Drosophila melanogaster: one gene and its partner. The protein of the gene in region 1 interacts with the protein of each later gene in a pairwise test. Each region holds a gene or a part of one and is shown on either strand. Other genes may lie near its edges.

Region 1 (4,465 bases):
CATATATACATATGAGCAGATATACTGACTGGTATTGCTTATGCCTGGTAATTGAATCTGTGGCCGAGGGTAATACGTGTGGAGCGCCTTGCTTGAATGGTTCGAATTTCGTTTTCATTGTGGTTTGCTTTATTTAAATTTCATTGCAAAATGGCCAAAGACAAAAGAACGTGCATGGCCTATCAGTTTATATCAAAATCTGGGCTATGCCAATAAAGCAATGCGATTGTTATTTGAACATGAATCAATGAACTTTCGTCAACTGGGAGGCGTAAGCAAAAGCAAAAGTAGTAGCCGTAATCATAGCAATTTCCTGGGAAACCCAAGTAGAGGTAAATTCGAGCAGTCAACCGGCTAAAAATGTTGCAATTACTAATATAGTTAACTGGTCTCTAGTTACGCACGACTTATAAATGTTATATGTACGTATGTAAAGGGGCCATTTTTGACTATCTTATCCGGCAAAGTTTTGGAGCGGCCACTTGAGCGCTTAAGTAATAAGCACCAAAATACAATGCCTAGGCGAGCTATTTAGATAAGCAACAGATATATGTAGATACTTATGAGCTGATAGTGCGAATCTCTGTTGGAATTCCGTTACATTCTAGAAAGTAAGTAAGCCAGTCACTCGTTGTCTTTTCTGGGGATTGACTGGAAGATAAGATTGTCGGGGCCAAAGAATGAAATACAATAGTGCGCAGGGTGAATATCCACCTGATTGCCTTGCGTGGAACCTTGCAACGATATCGCCAAAAAGGCAAACAGCCGAGCAATAATCCATCTTAAGAAGAAGAGTCTCAGTAAGTATGTACATAGCCCTCTGTCTAGCACTGATCTGGGTCAATACGATAACGCCAAGCCGATATATGTCCGCTTATCCAATTACTGTCCCATCCATCAGAATAGGCAGTATTGAATCAATATGGGTGGCGATAGCGGCACGCTTTAAGACCCGGAGAGTTCCAGATTACGGCGGAATTTGCAATTCCACACTTGAATGATTTCAATGCAAGTCTCTATGGTTATTCTTAAAACCAAGTGATCATTTCTTGCATCACTAAGGGATTTTTGCTATGTTTTTGGAAGTGTAACTAATTTGCTGATATCCTGAATCTCTTGAGTCATATATGTACATATATATTTTCCCGCACTGATTCATATTTCCTATGATTGTTTGCTTGGTTATCTTGGCCTCTTTGCTCTTGGATCTTGGATGAATTTCGATGGGTGGGAAGTTACTCACCCACCCACCAGGGCGAGATTTAGCCAACTTACCGATGAGGTAAACCCTGAGAAAATGAGTATTATTTTCATAATTTCTTTCGCTCTTTCTGTGACTTTCGTCTTATCATTTTCGGATTCTTATGAAGCCACGAGCCGAATACATGCCGAAGTACTCATGTTTGGGCGAAATTTGAAATATGACCGAAAAACTTCGGAGTTTTCTTGGGTATCAAGAGAGCCCTACACTGAAAGAATTAAATTGCTAACATTTTAGACTGAAACCTAAGTGACAAAGATTGTGCCCCTCTCTCAGCTTATACTGCGAGTCAGAAGCTGAAAAAAATTTCTTTTTTTTTTCTCATAGTCCAATAGTCTACGTAAGTCCTGCTAAGTGTAGCGCACTCCAGTAGGTTCTCATATTTCCCTTACTCTTTTCTTGGACAACTCTGAACTAAACACAATACCATTGCTGATTCGGCATTTCCGTGTATTTCTGCCCGACGAAGTTATCTTATCGGGCCCGGGCGACTCTCCTGGCCAAAAATGAGCGGTCGATAAGGCGCCAGAAAGCCCTCTCCGACGAATGTGGAATGGTGATGAAGATCGGCGAACGGGGACCGGAGACCGGAGACCGAAGGTTCCGAGACCCGGAGACCAAGTGCAGAGTCTCGAGCCTTGCAGTTACGAGGAGCTAGCCGCGGCAAGCGGAGCGCACAAATCCATCCGAACCCAGAAGCCAGCCCGTTTCCAATTGCCACCCAGCCATAGTTGTCGTAATCATCGTAAGAAAGTGAACGAAGTAGAAGTGGGATCGGATCGGATCGGATCGGGGCCAGAACCTAACCCAAAACCGAAGATAACGAAGGCGTTACAATGCTGAACACCTTCAGTTCGGTGAGGCAGTACCTCAAGTTCGATCTCACGCGTGTGGTCATCGACAATATAGTGTTCAAGCTGCACTATCGATGGACCTTCGTAATACTCCTAGTGGCCACCCTCCTGATCACGTCGCGCCAGTACATCGGGGAGCACATCCAGTGCCTATCCGACGGTGTTGTGTCTCCGGTCATCAACACCTTCTGCTTCTTCACGCCCACCTTCACAGTGGTAAGTCAGCGGGGTCACAAAGGGAAAATTATAAGAGGTCACCAGGGAATTAAAAAAAATATCTATGTACGGGGTACACAGAAGTATCTATTGAGAGCAACTGTTATCAATACTCTATTTGATTATTGGTTAAAACTTAAATAGGGTTAATCGATTTAGAGTCGTTTTATTGCTATTAGTTGGTTGATATATGTTGCCACATACCCATTCCTGAAATGATCAAATGATAGAATAGATTTTATTTATGTGCCTTGGCGGCAGTAGATCATTTATTAACATAGCTTGCACCCCAAATAGGTACGTGACCAGAACCAAACTGCCTACAGGCCGGGAAGTGAGCCACCTGGTATAGGGGCATTCGATCCCGAAAAGGACACGATCAAGCGGCATGCATACTACCAGTGGGTGCCCTTTGTCCTGTTCTTCCAGGCTCTCTGCTTCTACATTCCCCATGCCCTGTGGAAGAGTTGGGAGGGCGGCCGGATCAAGGCCCTGGTCTTTGGCCTTCGAATGGTGGGTCTAACGAGGTACCTGAAGAACGATAGTCTGCGTATCGGCAAGCTGAACATTCCCTCGATGGCGGAGGCGGAGGAGCGGGTCAAGGACATTCGTCGCACAATGATCGACCGGATGCGGCTGAATCAATCGTGGGGTGCCCACTTGGTCTTCGCGGAGGTGCTCAATCTGATTAATCTTCTGCTGCAGATCACATGGACCAACCGTTTTTTGGGCGGTCAATTCCTCACACTGGGACCACATGCCCTGAAAAATCGGTGGTCCGACGAGCTGAGCGTTTTGGATCTAGTATTCCCGAAGATTACCAAGTGCAAGTTCCACAAATTTGGTGACTCTGGCTCCATTCAAATGCACGATGCCCTTTGCGTGATGGCGCTGAACATCATGAACGAGAAGATCTACATTATTCTGTGGTTCTGGTACGCCTTCCTTTTGATTGTTACTGTTCTGGGACTGCTTTGGAGAATTTTAACCCTGTGCTTCTACAGAAAGTGAGTGGATGGATATAGGTGTGAAATATGTTTTCATAATGTGATAACCCTTCTAACCCACTTTAATTAGTGTCACATTTACCCGCTGGTCTCTCTATTGGGCCAAGCCTGGCCAACTGGACGAAAACGAATTATTGGCGGTAATTGATAAGTGTAACTTTTCCAACTGGATGTTCCTTTTCTTCCTGCGCTCCAACCTTTCGGAGTTCCTATTCAAGAAGGTTATCTATCATTTGGCTAGTGAGTTCCCCAATCCCGATCACGATAACGATGTCAATGCCTATCGAGAGGCACCGCCCACGCCCGCTAAGAACCGTTATCCGGAGCTCAGTGGTCTGGATACGATTGATTCACCACTCTTGCACCTTCGACGCAATGGCTCGCCCTCTGCCGGCGGAGCCCAAGGGCCATCGACTTCGGATATGGCAAAGTTACCTGTATAATTTATGCATTTCAATTAACGCTAGGCAATTAATTATTGGAGCTTTGTCTTGTTTACACCTGTTTTTTTTTTATATATATATATGATCATTTCATTATAAATATATTTATTATTAAGAGACTCGGCTTTCAGCTTTATCCAACAGGTTTTTTTCGGGGCTCACATAAAGCAAAATCTCTCAAAATGGCCGACAGAAAAACAGTTATTTTGTGTGAGGTATTTTGAAAAAAAAAGTGGGTAAAAAGCACAACAAAACCAAAACCGACCAGACACCTTTCGGAGGGGCGTGTGGGCGTGGCCGACAGTTTGTGTCGAGTGGCGACTGCGGTTGGGTGACCCAGTTCGAGTGATCCGTTGTGGTTTCGAAAGTGTTTGTTACTGAGCTGCAGTGTTCAGTTCAGAGCTGGGTCACAGTTTGTACCCTCCCATCTGACTGTGAAGTTTCAATAGATGTGCATGACGGTATCCCCGATTACGGACGGTTCTCCAGGTGAGTTATTGCTACTGTAAGTTTTATATATTTTCTATGGTTTTGGGAAGTTTAAGTGGTTTTCATCGAAAACATCCAGAGATAGGAGGAACTCAACTTCTGAAGTCAACGCTTCCAGCTGCATTAAGACATTTACACATGCCGCTCTGTCATAACCAAGTCCATATTTGGACCGATTTCCATTTGACTTGCCCC
Region 2 (5,310 bases), on another chromosome or scaffold:
GTTGCAAAGTATTTAACAAGTACATGATGTACCTCATGTTTAATTGTTAAAAATATGGGTTTACTATTAACAGCTGAAGAAGTTTTTCGTCTTCATGAATTTTATGAATTTATTTGAATCCGGACTTATAGTATCTAAATGTAGCCACATCAAACTTTAATGGTTTAGCATGGCACTTTTCCCTTTAAACTTCTGTGAAAGTTGCTGCTGCCCTCCATAGTCCTGCTAAAAAATGTGTAACTCTCAACCAACTCATGTAAAACAATTTTCCTACGTCCTAATTGGCAAGTCTCGAGTGTCCACTAGCTGGCTTTTAGCCTGCCAGTTTTAAAGACCCCACTGAGTGCTCACTGTAGTCGTCGGCTGGGCTGGTAAATAAATAATTGAAACTGTCGAAGAACATTTGCAAATCTGGCCAAACAACAACTGAGCTCATTATTTATGTACGCAGCCAAATATGTATCGACTGCCAAAGGCAATGGAAAAAAATTTAATGACCGGCAAAAGTGAGCGTCCCCCGGCAGGAAGGAAGCAATCCGCTCCGGCACCCCAGTCCCTGCCCCTTTCGGATCTGAGTTATCTCTTTTTCATTTTCGGTTTTTCAAACTCTTTGTGTGACAGTTTTTATATATATATATTTATTTTTTTCTACATTTGAGGGGCTGGTCATTTTTCAGAGCACGCACAAAGGCAAATTTATAACAAAGTTGGGGTCAAACGGGGCTGAGGCCGAGAAGACAATGCGCTAGGCGGTCTTAATTGCTTCCCGGCCGCAAAAACAATAACAGCATATTTCTGGAAGAACCCTTTTCGAGGTCTTTGTTGCTGCCTTGGCAAACTTATTAATTAAACGCGCTCATAATTATTTAAGACCGGCTGCCGCCGGAGCAAATTCAATCTGTGATCATTGCCCCCGATAGGCAGAGCTGCAGTAATCAGAGTTAGAGGAGCAGAATCCCCCCCCTGCTCAGCTGCCTAATGTGGCAGAAGCGAAGGCAAACAAAAGCGGTGCCATTTCAAAAGAAATCAATGACAATTCGTTAAAGTTCCTCCCCGGGGTAACCGCTCTCCAATTTTCCAACCCATCCCACAGAACACTTCCCAGGACATCATCGACATTTGAGCAGCGATTAAAGACAATTGAAGCCGCAGATGCAGAGGCAGCATAAGTCTGCTGCTTTCTTATCAGTTGGCAGAGCTCTCTGGCTTTTCCACTCTCTCCATCGTTATCTCTCTCTTGTGGAAAAGCTCGCGCCTGCGCTGCCAGGCCAACGGTGTTATCATTTGCCAAGAGATTGGCGCTTATCAGTTGGCCAGTGAATGTTTGCTGGGTTATCCCGCCATTGTTTGGCCCAAATAAATCGCTGACTTGGCATGCCGGACGGAGCAGGGAAAGTCAAAGACGCCAGTGCCCCAGGCACAGGTCAAAGTATCTGCGATTCGATGCCTCGGACGAAGAGCAAGAAAAAAAAACAAAAGAACACACTGCCATTTATCTTGGGCGACGTTTTTGCCCTAATGAGATTTGCGCCAAATTAAATGAAATCGAAAATTAGGTGCGCCAAGCTCGTTGGCAATTTAAATTGAAGGCGGCAATTATCCGCACAAACGGCCAAGTCGGACCAAAACGGGAGGAGCATAATGAGCAGAAGCCGAAGTTAAACAAGATTCTCACCTGTCAGCTTTGGCACCACCTGATGGCCTGGCACCTGGAAACCTTCGGGTTTCACCTGAAATCTGCCACCTGCCAGCTGTCTCGAGTGGCGGCTTTGGTTTTGGCTTTGGATGGGCGATTAAAGCGCTCGTCGGCCACTCGAACAAACAGAATCGACGGCTCATTGAGCCGCAGCCAAATGAAATCCGGTGGCAAACAACTTGAAGGATCCACTCGAGAAGGAGGCGGAGGAGGAGGAGGCTGCGCCAAGGAGTCCTGGGGTCCTGAAGTAGAAAAAAGAAGTGCACAAAAACGAAATCATAGATTCAATTTGATTTATTTCGCTGCCGTACTATATTGGCGTTGGACTAACAGCCGTCTCTCGATTCAAATGGCAGAGCTTTCACTTGATGTCATCGCGGCGTGCTCTCTCGCTTTTCCTCCGAATTTTCCTCGCATTTTCCGACTTCACTCTCTGCCTTAAATGCCGTGGCAGCAGCCGAGCGTAGTCAGTCGATTTCAGTCGGCCGTGCGGCACACACACTCGCAACGCGCTTTTCAGCCAGCTCAATTCAGCTCCGGATTCCGCTTGCCACCAGCTTTTGAACGCGTCATTAATCGCATCGTGTGACAGGAGCCTCGAATCAGTTTTCCCAGCAACGCGCGCACTTTTCCCGCTTTTGACCACCGATTAAGGTCTCTTGTTCTTTCCGCCTTATCGCTTCGTCCTGTGCGTTTGCATTTTAATGTTTGCTTAAGCATTCCGTTTCGGTGTCAAAATCCAAAATCCAAAATCCGGCCAAACCAATCCCGGCGATAAGAAAAACCCTGGCCTGGCAAACGGAGAGCTCAACGCGGAATTGTTCGACACAAAAGTGAATTACAAATCAATTGAGAAAGCCCTCGGCAGCGAGACGTAAATATTCAAATGGAAACCGAATTACATATTCTTTTGAAATTGCCTTGGCTATGGTGCACAATTGAGATATTCGGCATTTATAAGATTGTGGAGTGGGCTATTTATGGTGATCAATCGGGGCAAAAGGCTGGGAGGTATTTTGCAGAATCACTTGGTAGGATTAAAGACATTTAAACATCATACTCGCTTAAAATTAAACAATGATGTTTGAAAGTCAGCAAAACCACTGCAATATTTAAGTTATGCCTCTTTTGTGCGCGTATACAATTTTAAATGCAAATGTTTTTTGGCAAACAATTCCAAATAAGAATACCTTAATCATTTATCACGAATGAAATTATTAAATGGAATTCACTTGTATAACAACTAAAATGAAAGTCACTCCGTGCTGTGTATTGAATTATTTATTGCCACACTTACAATGCTGCATTTCCATTTAATATCAACCTATGACACCTATTCCTTTGACCAAACGAGAATGGCCATGTAAATTGATTCTTGGAATCGGTCCACATGCCCATACGATTCACCAAAAAAAAAAAAAAAAATGCTCATTTCAGCAAAATTGGGTTTTATTTGCATTGAGCGAATGTTCCTTCGGATGAGTTCACGTTCAAGCTAACTCGCCATTTTCAAAAGCAAACATACAAATGCGTTATTAGTTCACATGCACAATGGCCATACATTCCTAATCGGTAACCCTGGCTGCTTTTTCTTGGAACGTCCTTAAACAGGAGAGGGCAATCTGGGCAACGAAAGGTTACAAAACGAACTGGAGGCAGACAATTGTTGGGGGATTTACAACATGGCCCTCGTATTGTTTGCAATGCAGCAATAAGTCTGGATAAATGCGGAAAAGACAGAAGAAAAAGGGACGATGGTGATGGCGATGGAAATGTGTCCACGGCAGTTATGACAACTTCTGCTGGGTCTCACCTGTTTCACCTGTTCGCCAGCTGCTTAATTGGAGTCACAGCCAAAGTCCGGGCGAACTTTCCGATTTCCGTTCCTGCAACGCGTGCCACTGACAAGTGACAGCTTCGATTTGAGGCAGGAGTAAACGCATTGCTCATCTTCCAATTCATTTTTTAGATCTGAATATACTCTTGTTTGATCCGAAAAAAAAGGGAAATGATCTGCGAAATAAAATTGTAGTTTTACTAGCAGAAGACGTGTTTTTCCGTTTACACTTTCAGCAAAAGATTAATTGAATTGAATGCAATATTTTTCAAGAGATTTATACTTTGATTTTCAACGAAACGATTTTGTTTAAAAATCGTTATTTTCGTTCACGCTTATTATAAACATGCTAATAACGGCAACCAATTATTCTAACCAATACTCAATATATTTGTAAACATTTTGTAAATTACTTTCCTTTTTAAATTCCGCTCACGTTTCACTATAAGCGATGGTTTATAGTCAGCCTGCCTACCTGAAATTGCAGCTTATTTAATAATTACTCACGAAAATCATTTTCGTAATTGACTATTTCTCACTCCGATGTCTATCCATACAGTCGATCATCAGATGAAAGTGCTTTCCCAGTTTCTTTGCCATATGCAAAGTAGTAAACGTACAAAAAAAAAGTGGGATTCAGTTGCAATTTGCATGCAGTTCGGCAATCGCTGCGAAATTGAAACGTGCCAAATGTGCAAACAGAGGGCCGCAATCGTTTTCCACCTTGTTTGGATAGCCAACCAGGTGATAAGCAAACATAACCCAAAGGGACTCCCGTGAAAAGTCGACTTGCGGGGTTGGCTGGGTTTTAAACTCAACCCTTTTTTCTTTTTCTTCGGCTAAGGTGGGCGGCACTGCCACTAAATCAGGCTACTTCCACCAGGTAATAGAGAGATACAATTTGCTACGTGTGGAAAATGCGAAGAAAGAAGAGACGAGTAACTTTGCAAATAATGTTACCCAGCCACTCGAATGTTTAGGAACCTTTACGCATAAATTATTTATTCATTTGCCGTCGCCGGGTTTTTATATGCATCGTTAAAATTTCTGTTTGGAATCTCAAAGTGAATTTTCGGGTCCGGAGCGAGCACCTTTGACCCGCCCCCCCCCAAAAAAAAAAAAACGGAAATAGGGTTTTTTACGTTGGCTATTTTATAATGAGCTGCACTGGATTCGCTTTCACAGTGCTAACCCGTTGCTCATATGGTTTTCCTTTGCGCCTTTGGTTCCTTGTTCAATTTTCACTTTTGCAAGCGATTTTCCCGACGGCTGCTCACGAGAAAAGCTACGTGCAAAACGGCTTTGAGTGGAGGGTGTGGTCTCCACTTTCGCAGCGAAAGTGTTTATTTATTTCAGTTTGTGTGCTAGAAATAAGTTTTATTTCCGTTTTTTTTACCATTCCGAACCAAAATTATAATAATAACCTGCGGCTGCGGGCCAACGTTGCGTATGAGCGATGTTTTTTCAAACCATATTCCCATTGAAAACGCCGACTCGAAACTAATTAGCGCCCTGTACGCCGAGTTCTTGTTGTTTTGAAGGCTTTCCGCAGCAGCATTGGCTTTTGCCAGTAGAAAGTAGCCAGCGTGTCCACGTCATGTGATATGAGCTGGGAAAATATTGTTAAAAATATGCTGCAACTTTTTCATTACATCAACTTGACGGCTGCGAAGTGAAAACTTTTTAGCAACCAGCAGGAGCAGGCGGAAAAGCGTGGAAAAAGGGGAAAGGCAAGCGGCTTTGCCAGCTGTGGATGCTGTTTCTTTAATTTGTATTT

The links.
Region 2: the proteins of Inx7 (region 1) and CG43732 interact in a two-hybrid assay, tested with the Drosophila melanogaster proteins (one large-scale study listed by BioGRID).

The regions. Positions count from the first base shown.
Region 1 is NC_004354.4:6,991,046-6,995,510, reverse strand, and holds Inx7 (innexin 7), read left to right. Parts: upstream 1-1,898; 5' UTR 1,899-2,097; coding exon 2,098-2,331; intron 2,332-2,628; coding exon 2,629-3,338; intron 3,339-3,408; coding exon 3,409-3,781; 3' UTR 3,782-3,899; downstream 3,900-4,465. UniProt on the Drosophila melanogaster protein: Structural components of the gap junctions.
Region 2 is NT_033777.3:18,948,034-18,953,343, forward strand, and holds the start of CG43732 (uncharacterized protein), read left to right. Parts: upstream 1-2,162; 5' UTR 2,163-2,570; intron 2,571-5,310.